Saccharomyces cerevisiae S288C: one gene and its partners. The gene in region 2 interacts genetically with the main gene of each other region. Each region holds a gene or a part of one and is shown on either strand. Other genes may lie near its edges. The genes, in order: CAT5, RCK1, MBA1 and KCH1.

Evidence for each region.
Region 1: mutations in RCK1 (region 2) and CAT5 together harm fitness more than expected from each alone (negative genetic interaction), as found in Saccharomyces cerevisiae (2 studies listed by BioGRID).
Region 3: mutations in RCK1 (region 2) and MBA1 together harm fitness more than expected from each alone (negative genetic interaction), as found in Saccharomyces cerevisiae (3 studies listed by BioGRID).
Region 4: mutations in RCK1 (region 2) and KCH1 together harm fitness more than expected from each alone (negative genetic interaction), as found in Saccharomyces cerevisiae (2 studies listed by BioGRID).

What each region holds. Positions count from the first base shown.
Region 1 is NC_001147.6:558,149-561,534, forward strand, and holds CAT5 (putative monooxygenase CAT5), read right to left. Parts: upstream 1,584-3,386; coding exon 882-1,583; downstream 1-881. Other genes in the region: ubiquitin-specific protease UBP2, read right to left, coding at 1-494; IAH1 (isoamyl acetate-hydrolyzing esterase), read right to left, coding at 1,813-2,529; GTPase-activating protein RGA1, read left to right, coding at 3,022-3,386. UniProt on the Saccharomyces cerevisiae protein: Catalyzes the hydroxylation of 2-hexaprenyl-3-methyl-6-methoxy-1,4-benzoquinol (DMQH2) during ubiquinone biosynthesis.
Region 2 is NC_001139.9:205,024-209,071, forward strand, and holds RCK1 (putative serine/threonine protein kinase RCK1), read left to right. Parts: upstream 1-2,009; coding exon 2,010-3,548; downstream 3,549-4,048. Other genes in the region: carbonyl reductase (NADPH-dependent) ARI1, read left to right, coding at 3,983-4,048.
Region 3 is NC_001134.8:598,242-601,798, forward strand, and holds MBA1 (Mba1p), read right to left. Parts: upstream 1,719-3,557; coding exon 882-1,718; downstream 1-881. Other genes in the region: YBR184W (uncharacterized protein), read left to right, coding at 1-693; PCH2 (Pch2p), read left to right, coding at 2,312-3,557. UniProt on the Saccharomyces cerevisiae protein: Mitochondrial inner membrane-associated mitoribosome receptor that spatially aligns the mitoribosome exit tunnel with the membrane insertion machinery and allows cotranslational protein membrane insertion.
Region 4 is NC_001142.9:533,858-538,198, reverse strand, and holds KCH1 (Kch1p), read right to left. Parts: upstream 2,144-4,341; coding exon 650-2,143; downstream 1-649. Other genes in the region: BFA1 (Bfa1p), read right to left, coding at 2,448-4,172. UniProt on the Saccharomyces cerevisiae protein: Low affinity potassium transporter that, with PRM6/KCH2, participates in high-affinity Ca(2+) influx system (HACS) activation during the response to mating pheromone. Directly promotes K(+) influx and HACS may electrochemically respond to this K(+) influx.

The DNA of each region.
Region 1 (3,386 bases), on a different chromosome or scaffold from region 2:
TGTTCTGCCAGTGATGGATTAAAGATGACCGCCTGAAATACATGTATTTTATTATATTTTGGGCATGAAATGGAATCATACTCGGATTTTGTTTGAAAAACCACTTGATCAGTTAATGAACCCAAGCAGTTAGGGCGAATACTACTTCTGAAAGTTGAGTAAGAAAGCATAGACTCTTTTAAAATACCCCTCGATTGCAGGCCCTTTTGCATGACCTTCGGGTCTGTAGAATTGAGAAAAATAGTATCGCAAAGTATATCGTCCAAAAGTCTGTCAGAAGTCTTCAGTGGTAGGTTGGTGGCAATATCTGGATACAGTAAGTGTTTTCCATCGTCAACATCTCCAGGGGTAGACTGCTGGTTTATACTTGTCCCGTATAATGGGAGGTCTTCTATAACAGACCCATTTCTGTCAGCATTTTCTTTATCCTGGTTTAGTAGTTGATTATGATGGTTCTCAATTGCTTTTTGAAGTTCATTATCTTCGTTCGGCATTTCCTTATACCTTCTTAACCTTGAACAAAAGCTTTCTTTTTAATTACCACTTTATTATTAGCAGTGGCCCCGTTTTTATGCAATGTTCTTCCAATGGCAAGCCGCTTGTTTTTTTCAAGCTATATGTACTATAGTTTTGCTCTAATTAACTGTTACTCTTGTTAAAGATCCAGTTTGTACTCACCCTTAGACTATGAACCCATACCCCATTTACATAATTATAGACAGTGTATCTATTCCTGTCATATTGGTCATATAGCGTTAAAATGCGTAAGGATGATACATAATTTTATACATGATAGTTTAATTAGGACATTTATCAAACCGTTTTCCTTTCAATTCTCCTTTTCTGGCATAACGCGACTGATGTATGCCACTTTCTGGTGGTTAAATTCTTTCGGCACTCCATATAGCTACTCTGCAAATCGTTTTAATACCTTCAGTGATAACTGTATATGGAACTGCCATATACGAATCATGCTTGATAGCGGTGTCTAGATGCTCTAGCTCGTCATCCCTGAACTGTTGGATAGTAGAAGTTAAGGATTTGATTTCCTCACTTGGACCCTTTGTTCCATCTGTTCTTTCTAAATTGAATTGATTGGCCAAGTTTCGCAATTGGCCATTGTAGTGCCCTCCGATTACTGTCTCGACAGCTTCAGTACAAGCCATAGCTGCTTCTGGAGAAATCAATGCGGTACCAGCCCCCATTGCAAAGGCTCCTGCCTTCCACAAAGGCGTTAATAAGGAAGGCCTGACTCTCCTTTTCAATTGCAAATTGTTAAAAGTATTATGATGATGTATCTCCTGGTCCCATATGTGCTTTAGCACAGGTTTCAAGTGAGGGTACCTATGAGCCAACACGAAGTACTGGCCAGCGTAGATGTAGTCTGCACCTAATTCGCCAGCTTGATCTACACGAATAACACGGTCCAAAAATGCAGCCTGAGCATCTGATAAATTCTGACACTTGGGAGCATGCTCAGGTTTTTCGGTGTGTTTTGCTGATGTATGTTCTGTTATCTTTAAAGATGATAAGACGGAAAAGCCTCTGCTGGCAGGTTTGAAAACTGAAACACGGGATAACATAATTTCTATGTATCTCTCCCGTATACGTGATATCTTTATTCCTTGAATTGGTTTGGAGGAGAAGATAACGACGTTTTCACAAGAATAAAACTCTCGTCTGTAAAAATAAGGAAACATGTTTTATAGATTTCTATTGTTTTTTTTCCTGAAAATCCCGTATATGAAAAATTATACAGTTGCTTAAAAGTTAGGGAAATATAGACAGAGTACGTACAAAGGATTACTGCATTCAAGACATTATGTTAGATCCATCATCTAGCACATCTCTCCAATCTTTCAGTTTGTACTGCATGTTTTTGGGATGATATTGGGGGTAGAATGTCTCAATGACCTTCAATAATTCGTCATGAAAAATTTTGTACCCTTTTCCGGAAAAGTGCAGTCCATCTGTTAGCAGTTGTTGCCAAGCATCACCACCTTCCTGTTGAAACGCCTTATTCAAAGCCACGAAGGGAACTTTTTCCTCATTGGCTAGTTTTGCTAAGGCATCGGAATAAATGGCAAAGTTCTCGTTGGTACGGAAGTATCCGAGAGCTATTTCTTCAGATTTTTCTTTTTCCCACTTCTCTCTATCTACTAGCCCCGGTCCTATTATAATAGGACGGATATGGTAAGACTTCATCAAAGATACCATTTGACGAATATTATCGATAAATTCGGGGAGGGGGACACTTTGGGGACCTGCTGAGCATGCATCGTTGGCACCCAAAAATATTGTGGCCATGACAATATTGGATTCATGCTTTAAAATCTCAGGAAGTATTTTCAACGCCCATCTAGAAGTGTACCCTTTGAACCCTCTTTGAAGAATATCCATTTTTCTCGTATATTCGTTGACTAATGCGGCTCCAAGAGCATACTGATCTTTGCCATCTTCAATGGGCCTAGTATTAAAAGCAAATTCAGTAATGGAATCCCCAAATAACAGAAACTTCTCGTAATCCATATTTGGTCACAGTTTAAGCGTACGAACAGATGATAATGTAGAGGCTAGTTCTTGGTTTCGTATGTGTTACCACGATGAGAAGGTGTAAAGTGCCCTTATTATTGCGCGCTTTATGCCGTATTAGGAAAAATGAAAAAAAAAAAAAGGCAGTTCTCGAGTTTAGATTTGATATAATTAACGTGTGCTTTTCTCTATTGACCTTTGATGAGATTGTATCAGCCAACTGGCTAATTCATTGAACGTTTTCCAAGGGTAGGACTGCTCAAACAGACTAAATTTCTTTGCCAAATAGGGTGTTTTGAGTTTTGATCAGTCAACATTCTTGATCAATTCACAGTTGCTTAAAATAGAAAAAAAAATTGATCGGTATCACTAAAATTTTTAAGAAACTGAAAAGCACCACGGTTTTGACATTTATCTCTATTATAGCTTTTTGTACAAGACAAGGATAGCTGATTCAGGTACTAGTGGTGGAGAGAGCGGCATATTAAAATGGCATCAACTGCTCCCAATGAACAATTTCCATCCTGCGTACGATGCAAAGAATTTATTACCACGGGGCATGCATATGAGTTGGGTTGTGATAGATGGCACACACATTGTTTCGCTTGTTACAAATGTGAGAAACCATTAAGCTGCGAATCTGATTTTTTAGTCCTTGGAACAGGTGCTTTGATCTGCTTTGATTGTTCCGATTCTTGTAAAAATTGCGGTAAAAAGATTGATGATTTGGCCATAATACTGTCCTCTTCAAATGAGGCCTATTGTTCAGATTGTTTTAAATGCTGTAAATGTGGTGAAAATATTGCTGACCTACGGTACGCGAAAACCAAGCGAGGTTTATTCTGTTTAAGCTG
Region 2 (4,048 bases):
GCTTATACTACATATTGTTGTACACCATGGGTACCGTTAAATGACAGTGTAAACAATTGCAGAAGGAAATGTTACACTAGCGGTTAAACAATACTGAATTAAAGATTTTTTAGTTGAATATGATATGACAGTTATATACGTGAGCAATATAAGTCCCCACATTGAGTGTATGATAACTACCGGAATTACTATCATATTGTTCGTAAGCAATAATAAATCAATTAGTGTGGGTGTTTTATACCTCTCTCATATGAGTATATAAAGATCCTTATTTAATTTTGATTATACTATCTTCTAGCCTTCAATTATCGACATCGCTCACTTGAGCAGTTCATCTAAGAAAAAAAGAACTATAGCTAAATAACCCAGTATTATTTGTTTCGCTGTAGGTTGTTGCACAAGGGTTTCTTCTGTGAACATTTTGAATTGTACGCTTAAGATGATAATACCTAACTGATTCCAACCTATATTAGTAGAACCGAAACATACAAATAAGTGGTTGTTTGGCCGAGCGGTCTAAGGCGCCTGATTCAAGCAATATCTTGACCGCAGTTAACTGTGGGAATACTCAGGTATCGTAAGATGCAAGAGTTCGAATCTCTTAGCAACCATTATTTTTTATCTTTTTGGTTCTGTGATCAAGCTACCCGCGTTTGAAGCCGACTAAAGACGAGAAAAATTAGACCTTCATTTTTGCCTGTTTGCTGCATGTAAAAGAATGTTGGTTGAACATGTCGTTTAAGAGAAGAAATCGGGTACGGCGCTCTGGCTTTTAAAATTGAAGAAATTGGTGTTCTTCCGGTTAATACTTTGAACTCGGCTTTTCTTAACATGTAATAAAGTTTGTTACATCTCCCATAATTAAGTTTCTGGAACACGCATTGTTCTATTTTTAGACGGGAGACCAGAACTTCCTGATATATGACCGCTTTTTAGTGACTACGTATACTTTCTTTCTGCAATTACGTGTAAGAAAAAATTGATTTTTTATTTTTAAATTCACGGAATTTCAGACTGTGAAAACTTTGTAGTTCCAACTCACTTTGCTATGCAAGAAAATAATGAGGGGAAACAAAAAAAAAATGAGAGCGGAGAAAAGAACAATGCAGCTCAAGTATGAAGAAGAAAGTCACAGCAACGGAAATAAAAATCAAAATTGCGAAAATTGACAATCTTGACAATCGAAGCGGAAAAACAATGGAAGGTCCAGATACCTGTTGACCTTAAAAATGCAGAAAAATCGCCTTTATACGGCGACATTGTGAAAAATGACGTTAAAATCTTGTACATAAAAAAAGGGAATTACAAACTTGTAGTGTTTTTTTTTTTTAGGGGACTTGCATGAAAGTTAAATTTTATAGAAGTAATTAAATAGTCGATTTCCTTTCCTGTGTGTGACGAATCTAGATTTTTTTCATGTAAGAGACCCCGCCCTGCGGAGAGGGGCAAACAATTCTAGCAGAAAAAAATCAGTGGAAAAAAAAAAGAAATTCCGGATATGATAGAATATTTCTTCGAGAAACCTTTTGGATGAGGAGTGCCCTTCCATGAAGAAATTCTTCCTGCATCAGCACCTTCCCGGCAAGGCATTTCATTTTTTTTTTCCGAGAAGAAGATTTTTAAGTGGGCTACCCCACGCTTTCGGTGCCTATGGTAGCTGCATGATCACACAATGCACTCCCATTAAGAGTTTGTGAAGTGCATGAGATTGACATCTCGGCGTCCCTTAGTTTCCTGTCGGATTTTCAGTTATATGGAGTGGGTGAAGTCATTATCCGAATATTCGCGGATCATTGACGTATAAATACTTCATACTACTTCATACCAGATATTTCCTACATGTTGAAAGTCAATTGAAAAAAATAAATCATCACTTAACTCTTTTCCAGTGACACATCGCAAAGATTACTCAAATAATCTTCCTAAAACAATACTACCAGCATCTATTTCATGCAGCACCAAGCACAGAGGCTACATATCATATAAAATAAGTCATCATAGAGAAAAAAATGTCAGTAAACCCAGAATTTATAGCCGATGGCATCGATTTTTATCCAACAACGCCCGATGCCGCGTATTTCAATGCCGCTGATGGTAAAAATAAAGTTAACAGGATAAATGGTAACTCAGAAAATTTACACCACTCCTTTGCATCGGGTTGCCGTAGATCATCTCTTTCAGTCGACTTTAATGTTACCTCGTCCGATTCAGAAAAAAGTGAACAGAGCTGCTTGGAAAACAACTCTCAAGAAGACGAATATTTTTGTGACATTTTTTCCACTGAATTAAAATTAGATGAAACTTCTAACAAGTCAACCGATTATTCCAGTTCAAATCACCAGTATCCTGAACAACTGGAGTTGCACAATTATAAACTGCTCAATAAAATTGGTGAAGGGGCATTTTCCAGAGTATTTAAAGCAGTAGGCATCAACACGGATGACCAAGCTCCTGTTGCCATCAAAGCAATCATAAAGAAAGGCATTTCGAGCGATGCCATCTTAAAAGGGAATGATAGAATCCAAGGTTCCAGCAGAAAGAAAGTCTTAAACGAAGTTGCCATCCACAAACTGGTTTCGAAAAATAATCCGCATTGTACAAAATTTATCGCATTCCAGGAATCGGCGAACTACTATTACTTAGTGACGGAGTTAGTCACAGGTGGGGAAATATTTGATAGGATCGTCCAACTAACATGCTTTAGTGAAGACTTAGCTCGTCATGTCATTACTCAGGTAGCAATTGCAATTAAACATATGCACTACATGGGTATTGTGCATCGTGATGTCAAACCAGAAAACCTACTATTTGAACCTATCCCATTTTATGGCCTTGATGGGGACATGCAAAAAGAAGACGAGTTTACATTAGGTGTCGGCGGAGGCGGTATTGGTTTAGTGAAGCTAATGGACTTCGGACTAGCCAAGAAACTTCGGAACAATACCGCAAAAACTCCCTGCGGAACGATAGAATACGTCGCATCAGAAGTATTCACCTCCAAACGATATTCCATGAAAGTTGATATGTGGAGTATTGGCTGCGTACTATTCACGTTATTGTGTGGATATCCTCCGTTTTACGAAAAGAACGAAAAAACATTATTGAAGAAAATATCGAGAGGAGATTACGAATTCTTGGCGCCATGGTGGGACAACATAAGTTCTGGCGCTAAGAACGCAGTTACCCATCTTTTGGAGGTTGACCCAAACAAGAGATACGATATCGATGACTTCCTAAATGATCCTTGGTTAAATTCGTACGATTGTTTGAAGGATTCAAACTCAAATTCTTATGCCAGCGTGCAAAGCATACTAAATGATTCATTCGATGAGAGAGCAGAGACCCTACATTGTGCATTAAGCTGCCAATCTGAAAAACAAGATGACACCGAGTTTTCCAGAAGTGAAAGCTCGGAATACATATTTATGACGGAAGAAGACAGAAACCTACGGGGCAGTTGGATCGGTGAGCCAAAAGAGTGTTTTACCTTAGACCTTGCAACATCTTCTATATACCGAAGAAGGAAGAACAAGATATTCTTCTGGTAAACTCTTATCCAGTGGAAAACGCACCCAGCATATTCGAAAATATATCAACTGTCTCCCCTTTTTATACTAATAATTAATAGCATTCATATTGAAATAATAAAAAAGATACGTTTAATATTTACGCCAGCTCTCTAGTTACAGTTTCCTAACGCATACGTCATCAATTTGTTAAGATCGGCTTCGCTCTATAAAAATGTCGGCCGAAATTAGCATAGGATTTTCCGCGGTTCCGACCCCTATCCTAGAAACACGGAAAAACTTGCGAATAATTCCGGAATTTATTCTATGCAACTTTATGAAGACAAATTACTATAAATGAACCGCTCATTCAGAAAAACTATGTCTCGAGCTCAATGGATCTTACTACATAGTTTATAAAAACAGTAATTGTGCATTGTACAACTGTGCTAAACAGACTTAAAAAAGTAATAATTATGACTACTGATACCACTGTTTTCGTTTCTGGCGCAACCGGTTTCATTGCTCTACACATTATGAAC
Region 3 (3,557 bases), on a different chromosome or scaffold from region 2:
ATTGCAAATATTTCTTCTACACTCAGTTTTCTACCCCATCATGAAATAACCGTATACACATCCTTTATTCTCTATCCAAACGTTGTCGATAATATTTGGGAATGCACACGATACGCTATTCAACTTTTGAAGTCCGAAGCAGCACAGTTTACGCTACTGCGTGATATATATAGTGGCTTCACAATTATACTTTCAAATCATCGATATCATCCTAAGGGTTTTAGCGCTGATTACTGTTACAGTGCAAATGAATTGACATTATTTCTTTTTGTTATTCGAACAGGGCAAAAAAAAGTACTTTATCGATCTATTCCTCACAACACAGCAGCAATTGAAAAAGACAGTTCTTTTGATACAGAAAATAGAAAGAGAAGGTCCGAGGAAGAGGTTGTTCTTAAATGTAGGAAGTGTTCTAATAATTCATTGGCATTAAAAGAAATCAGCACCTATCGTTTGGATAGCGCAGAAGGTTTTGAGAAGTCTCAGCCTCTAAAAGATGAAGCAAAGCTCAGTGATATGAATTATGTACAAGGTAGTATCAGCTATAACAGGACTATTCTTACCGGCTTATGGAAATTATTTCACAGATTGTGCTGCAAAGATCGTTATAGGAAAACCAATCTGTCAGAAACATTGTTCTATGACGATTCAACGGAAAGATGGGTTAGAATGGGAGAGTTAATGCACTATTGAAAGGGAGATGCTTCAATAACTTTTTTCATGAAAAACTATTTAATAAATTTAATATATATACTTCAGAATGAAAAACAAATGAATAGTTTTTACTGAATATGTAAGTGGTATGTGGAATAAGAAACTCAAATGAAGCAATGGCTATTTACAGATGTTCCAAAACTTTTCGCATTTATATACATATTGCCTTAGCTTGGAGGTAAACGATATATATCACCGTTAACTTTCATTCTGTGTATGGCAACTTTAGCATCGTCCTCGTAGCTTTTCGGTAATTTATCATTTGGTTTACTTTCAAACAAAGATCCCATTAAAATCATATCATTAGTTGTAGCATCACACAAAAAGGCAATATAGTCTACAACGTCACGGTCTAACGTCTCAGTCTTCTTAGTTTGCTGATTGACTTTAATTAGTCTTTGCTTCGTATCAAATTTGTAAACCAACTGTAAATGCTCTAACGGCATTCCGGGAATCATGATTGGTTGCACTGAGACTAGTTTAGGAACTGCATTAAACTTTATCAACTGCCAGTCCAGTGTTGCATTACCTGGAAGTTGACGGGACCTAGCCTCGAGAGCTTCCTGAACCCATAATGAAACTAACCCTTTGATGTCCGACAAATTTTTATGAGCAAATGACGTGTTTACATTGATATACGTCTCTATGGCTTTGTTTTTCCAGAGTAAAAAAGAAGGTTTAATGCCTGATTGAAAACGAAACAATGCGACTTGAACAGAGTTCAAACCAAACGTGTAAAGTCTTCTGATCAATGCATTTGCAACAATGAGAGGATGAGCAAATACATTTGGAAGGTTCTTGTAAGCCGAGGGGATAAATATTTCGGCAGCAACACCCAGGTGCCGAGGATTAAAATCTTGCTGCTTACTTTTATCTTTCTTCTTTGTAGTTTCACTTTCTTTATTCAAAATTAACCTCGAAGTTGAAAATAATCGCCGCTTGTTAAATGATATCAACAAGGATCTTGGAGGGAAGAAAAGGCATGTAGATCTTAATACACTCATCTCATAAGCTTAGCTGAATGGATAGGCTTGCTTTCTGATGGAAATTTGCCTTGCTTTTCCAACTATTCCATTACTCAGGTTTTATTTTTTTATTTTGTAATATGGGGAGAAGGCCGGCAGAATATTTACGGACAAATGAATAAATTGGATTGGATTGACTAGTGGAACGTGTAAAGATCGCGATACTCCGTACCAATCACCGAAAGATTGCCCGTAACCGAAATGACTCCATTCTCTGAATTTTTTGTGAAACCAATATCTGAGACTCTTCCTTCATCTTATCAACGTATTGTTCAGTCAATTAAGTAAGAAGTATATTTGAGCGCAGCCTTAATCATATATAGCACCAGTTATATGTTTGCCCCTCTCTTGAGTTGAAAAACACATAATACATAGTACTGTACTTTTCTCTTTTTCATCGTTGGCGAAAATATAATCTTTCTCAAAAATATATATATATGTATATATATCCTTAGATTTGCCGTTGACAATAAGGTGGGCGGCAAATCTACGAAATGCGAGGCGGTTAAAAGAGAGTGACAACATTTTCATAAAAATATTCTGATCTCAAACTGAAGACATAAAATAAGGATATGAGCTACATAGTTGACCTACAAGTGCGAGGATCATCTCTGAGGGTTATCAAATGTATGTTTAGAGAGGATGAGCAAATTTCTTCTCTACATTCTGGTTCTGACTCGAAACAAAACAGCAACAAAAAGCTGGGAGAATTTTTGAATCTGTTAAAAGCAGTGGTCAAGAGGAAGTTGGAAAGTTTCCCAAAAGACCGTTTAAAGACTTCGATTATAACTGGCCAAGAATTAATGAGAGAGGGGCAAGGAAGTATTGAAATTAAGGATCCACCAACGGAGGCGCAACAACATTTGATTAGAAGCCTAGCAAAAGTTTTATTACACCAGTTTTCAAGCATAAATGGCAAAGTTAACACAGTAAATGAAGGACAAGATAATTTGTTTCTATCCTTATTCGTTAAAAAAATTTCTATAGAGCAACAGTCCACATCACACGTCTCTATTAAATTGAACTTTCATGAGAAAATAAATTTGGGTCAGCACATAGATTCTATTTTAGATTCAGAGGAGACCAACGAGTCGGACACTTATCACATGGGATCTGTTGACGAGTTCATTATATATCCCTTTTGCTGTCTGGAAGAGCAAGATGAGCTGAAAAATGGCAGCATACTGTCCACAGAGTTCGACAAGATTGACTTAGAACTAGACGAGGATGATGGTTTTGAGGGAGAAACTTTAAACAATTGTATCAATTCGGTGGGAAATTTTGACATTCCACTAAGTAAGCAAACACTAAACTTAGTAAATATATCATATCTTCCAGGCACAACTTTCGAGGGCCAATGGGAATCGTTGTATTTTGGTAACAATATTAAAGAAAGGTTATATAGCTACGCAACTATATCTCTCAAGATAGCAAGATTCAAACAAACTGGAGACTCCAATCAAGAAGACATTACAACGCTAATCACAAATAATAAATTACTCCTTGTCCATGGTCCTCCGGGAACAGGTAAAACAACGTTATGCAAAGCACTTTGCCAAAAATTATCTGTGAGGCGGGAATTTTCAGACGGTTCCGATACCATTGATACTAATTATAAGGGGATAATAATAGAATTGTCTTGTGCACGCATCTTTTCTAAATGGTTTGGAGAATCGTCAAAAAATATATCAATAGTATTCAAAGACATTGAGGAGCTTTTAAAGGTCAATGAGGGACGAGGGATCTTTATATGCCTTTTGATAGATGAGGTTGAAGCAATAGCAAGTTCAAGAACAAATTTGTCAAGTAGAAATGAGT
Region 4 (4,341 bases), on a different chromosome or scaffold from region 2:
TTCTCATCATTTGCGTCATCTTCTAACACCGTATATGATAATATACTAGTAACGTAAATACTAGTTAGTAGATGATAGTTGATTTTTATTCCAACAAATATCCGCCTCATTTTCTACTTTCGCTTAAGCTGCTGTAATGAACCCCTAAGGTAGTACTCATTTAGTAGTATTCATGTTACTAGTATATTATCACATACTGTGTATGAAGATGACATAATATTGAGAAACAAATATCAAATCTATTGGAAGCTGAAATGCAAGGATTGATAAAATAATAGGATAATATGACAAAATATCAAAGAAGGAATAAAAAAAAGATGTTATTATGTTGAACTAGTGACACCCTTTTGTGGATTCCTACATACCCAGAGAGAACTCCTAGTATATTCTGTATACCTAATATTAAGTCTTTACCAACAATGGAATCTCAGCAACTATAAAAAATTAACCTATCTCTTACAAGCAAATGTTAAAAGGGGTTTTCAAAGAAACTTTCATGGCTGTTATGTTTGTGCTATAACCGGTATCAATCCAATATATGAAAATAGTGTTACAAAAAAAGTATTATTTTTATCAGAAACATACTAACGGCTGTTTCTAATCACGTCTATCTAATTCATGAAATATGCAAAGGGCTTTTGCCAGCCTATTAAGTATAATTATATGTACGATCTTCATCTTCCAGCAAACCCTTCCTCGGAAGATCAGGCTCCCTGAAGTACGCTTTCATTGGTGTATAAATCCTTCCATTATCATTCGAGTCAGCTTTTGAATTAATCGAACTTTTTGTCTGTAAAGGAGGTGGTCTAGGTCTACTACTGTTGCTATTAAAATTACGGATGTTGTTTGTTGTATTTGGCATAGAATCTAATGGCCCGTGAAACTCCATAGAAGTTGTAGATTTTAATTGTCCAGCAGAGTGTATTTTGTTGAAAATGTCAGAAGAAGACAAATCCTCATATTTTGGAGTATTTACGCTTCTGCTTTGTATTTTTGCTTTCTTTATATCATTACTTTCATAGCTGTTGATATATGGTGAATCTAGAATCGCAGAGAATCTAGTGGTATATTGTGGATTGCCATTGTCAACGAACGATTCCATTGTTTCCGTTTTCTTCATTGTGGGAATGGGCCCACATACATCCTGACTTTTGTATTCGGGTCTTCTCTCTATTAGCTCAATCATAGAATCATTATTAGAAGCATATGACGTATCATTAAAAGATGTTTCAATTTTATTTTCAACTTCTTTAAAATCGTCAAAAGTCTGAGATTCGAGAAGACCTGTCTTATAAATCGTGTCATCATTTTCCTTTTTCCTTTGTCTTTCAACAAGTTCATCAACATTTTCGCTGACGGTAACACAAATGTACTCACGCAACCCGCTATATTCCTGATCATTGATTATTTTATAATAAACAAAAATCGAGCAAATGACAGCAAGCAGAAACTTGAAGACAAATAATGCCCAGATTATAAAGGAAAATAGCATCAGCGACAATATCACTGCTTCTTCATGATTGGTCTGGCCAATGTTCTTTATTTTGTTGATCAAACCGGTAAATGATTCCAGATCGCCTAGATCCTCGTTTTTATTTACTGTTACGAGAACTGACCACAGCGTAAGACCATTAATAACTTGCCTTGGGGTATCCGTGAAGATTAATCTAATACAATCTTTCAGTTGAAAAAAAGTAAAAAATGTCATTTTCTGTCGAAAACCCTTTCGTTCGATCATATTATAAACACAAAACTTGGAATAATTGAGCACTGAATTTAGGTTTCTGGAAAAATTGTTGACATAAGTCAAAGAGATATTTCCCGTTTTGTAAATCCTCATTCCCGCTATAGCCTCCCATATCAATAGCACAATCGATGCTAAAATACAACCGCTAAACAACCATTTGGATATTTTAAAGGGTAAGTATGGTTTGATGATGTTGTTTGACCAGGAGTTGAATGCCAGCAATTTGATACATGTGTAAATGTCAGAAACAAAAAGGGCGAGTTTTAATCCATTCCACCCAACTACACCTATTATGTAATTTAAAACAGTTTTGAACTTGTGGTTTCGAAATAATTCAATGTTTAAATCGGCGAAAGTCTTAGAATTAATGGAGTACTTCCAATCATGGTTAAACATTTTTGATTTTCTGTTCCTGCTAGTCAAATATTCATGAAATTACCAAAGTGTTTGCTAAACAAACCATAAAGATCTGTTTTAATAATCATCAAGGGCTCTTTTGTTTGAAATGTTAATGTGTCCCTCATGGTCTATTTTCATTTGAAACATCTATTCGAATTTTCTGCAACATTTCTTTTTCTGTCAGACGCGAAATGTCGGCGAAAAGTTGACACGATTCAAGGTTCTATCTAATTTTGGAATGTAAGAGAAATGAATGTACTCAAGATAACGGTAAAGAAACAGTTATAAGAAGGCTAAAGGGCTAATCTTTTGTCGAATTGATTACCATGTTCCTGATTTCATACATATAGGATTTTCTCTTGCTATTGACCGTACTTTCATCCATGATTGTTTCCTCATCAACACTGATAATGGTCTCATCTCGGGGTATAAACCATGAGGCTAACTTTTTACACCACCTGTTCTCCTCGTGGTAAAATTTTTCCAATGCTCTTGAACTCAAATGGAAAGTAGAGCTTATTTCTGGAGTTTCTGTTGTACCGTTAAGTGTCCTCATTGAATGGTATTTACGGAGTCTTGCTTGAGCAGCCGTACTTTGATAAACGCCATCATTGTCATTTGAAACAAATGGCGTATTAACTTGGCTTTTGGAACGCAAAAATGGTGAGGAGCTACGTTTTTTCATACTTTTGCCAACTGGTGGTAAGTTTATCTCAGGAATGCCTGCAAAAGGGTCTGCTTCTTCCTCTGAAACACTAACCCATCTTAAATTTTGTTCATCTAAAATCATGTTCCCGATGACCTTTTGATTTCTCGAAGTGGCTCTTGCATGCTGTAGATCAGAATATTTTTGCTTCTTAGAATCTGCATCTCGTTGTAGCTTGTTTTTTATCAATAAAGCTTTCCTGTTTGCCGTGTCTACATCACTAAATTTGCTTAAGACGTTTTCATTTCCTTCCCACTTCATAGTTTTCGGGTTATATATCATAGAACCTTTCTTCATTGGAGTATTATGATCAATTTGCTGTTTTATTGTTTTGATTTTAGCTGGACCATTGAGTTGTACATTTTGATTAGAACAGTGTCTTACTGATCGTTTTTCTTTAAAAGAGTCCAGTTCCTGCTGGGTATTCCAATCTCGTTGTCGCCTATGAAGACCTGGAGTTAATAATTCGTCATGCTTTACTATATCATATTGTGCAGGTGATATTTTTAATGGCAAAGATGAGGATGACTTCTTTAAGAAACGCGGATGGTCGGCACTTTCTTTATCGTTCGAAGAAATCGTTTCATCAATTGCTTCACCCTCTAATTCTTCAAATCCTGTCAGAAAGTCACCTTCATCATCTGAACTGAATTTCGCCAAAATTGTGTCCTGCGTATCGTTATCAATCTTGTAATTAAACTCTCGTTGATCTTCTCTTTCTCGTTCTTCGTCCTCTTCTTCTTCTCTGATAGCTGGATTAACTAAAGCTAAGTTAGGCATAGATTTCTTAAATCTTACAGAATTACCAGACCTTAAGTTTCTTGAAGTGACGCTATTTGATAGTTTTCTTTTTGGTTTCAATTCCATCATTGATCTAGGTTGCTTTAGCCTTGGTTTATCTTCCAAACTCAGTTTTCTATCAAACTCTTCTGCGAAAATGTCGTTTTTGAAAGGGCCAGTTCGACATCCATTTCTCAAATGAAAATTTGTTTTAATAGCATCGTCAAAATCATCCTTTTTATTTTGGAATTCCTGGAAGTCATTTAGAAATTCATCATCCTGGTCTACCTCCATGTCCTGATCATCGTCTGCTTGCTTATTAGACCAAAACGCGCTGGTACTATTGGAAAATACCGTGCCAGTGTCAGAAGTACCTACCGAGGATGGAGGCGGTATATAAGTTGATGTACTCAATGGTGGCACGTTTTCTTCCAAAGTTAATGTTTCATGGGATTGAAAGCGAGGTAGAGTTGTATTCAGTTCTTCAAAAGAGGTTTCTGGCTCATCTAAACCGTTTAACGTGAGAGGCCTAATTGACATAGCATACAAAACTTTCAACTGCTACAAAAGTTTTCGAACTTTTTTCTTTACGTCAAACTTCTCGTTTTTTTCCTTTTATCTGCGCTGAATACATAAGTTTACACTTTTTTTTTTACTATTATTGTTTGTTTATTATTCGCGAGATGCCATAAAATCCCTTCAATAGAAA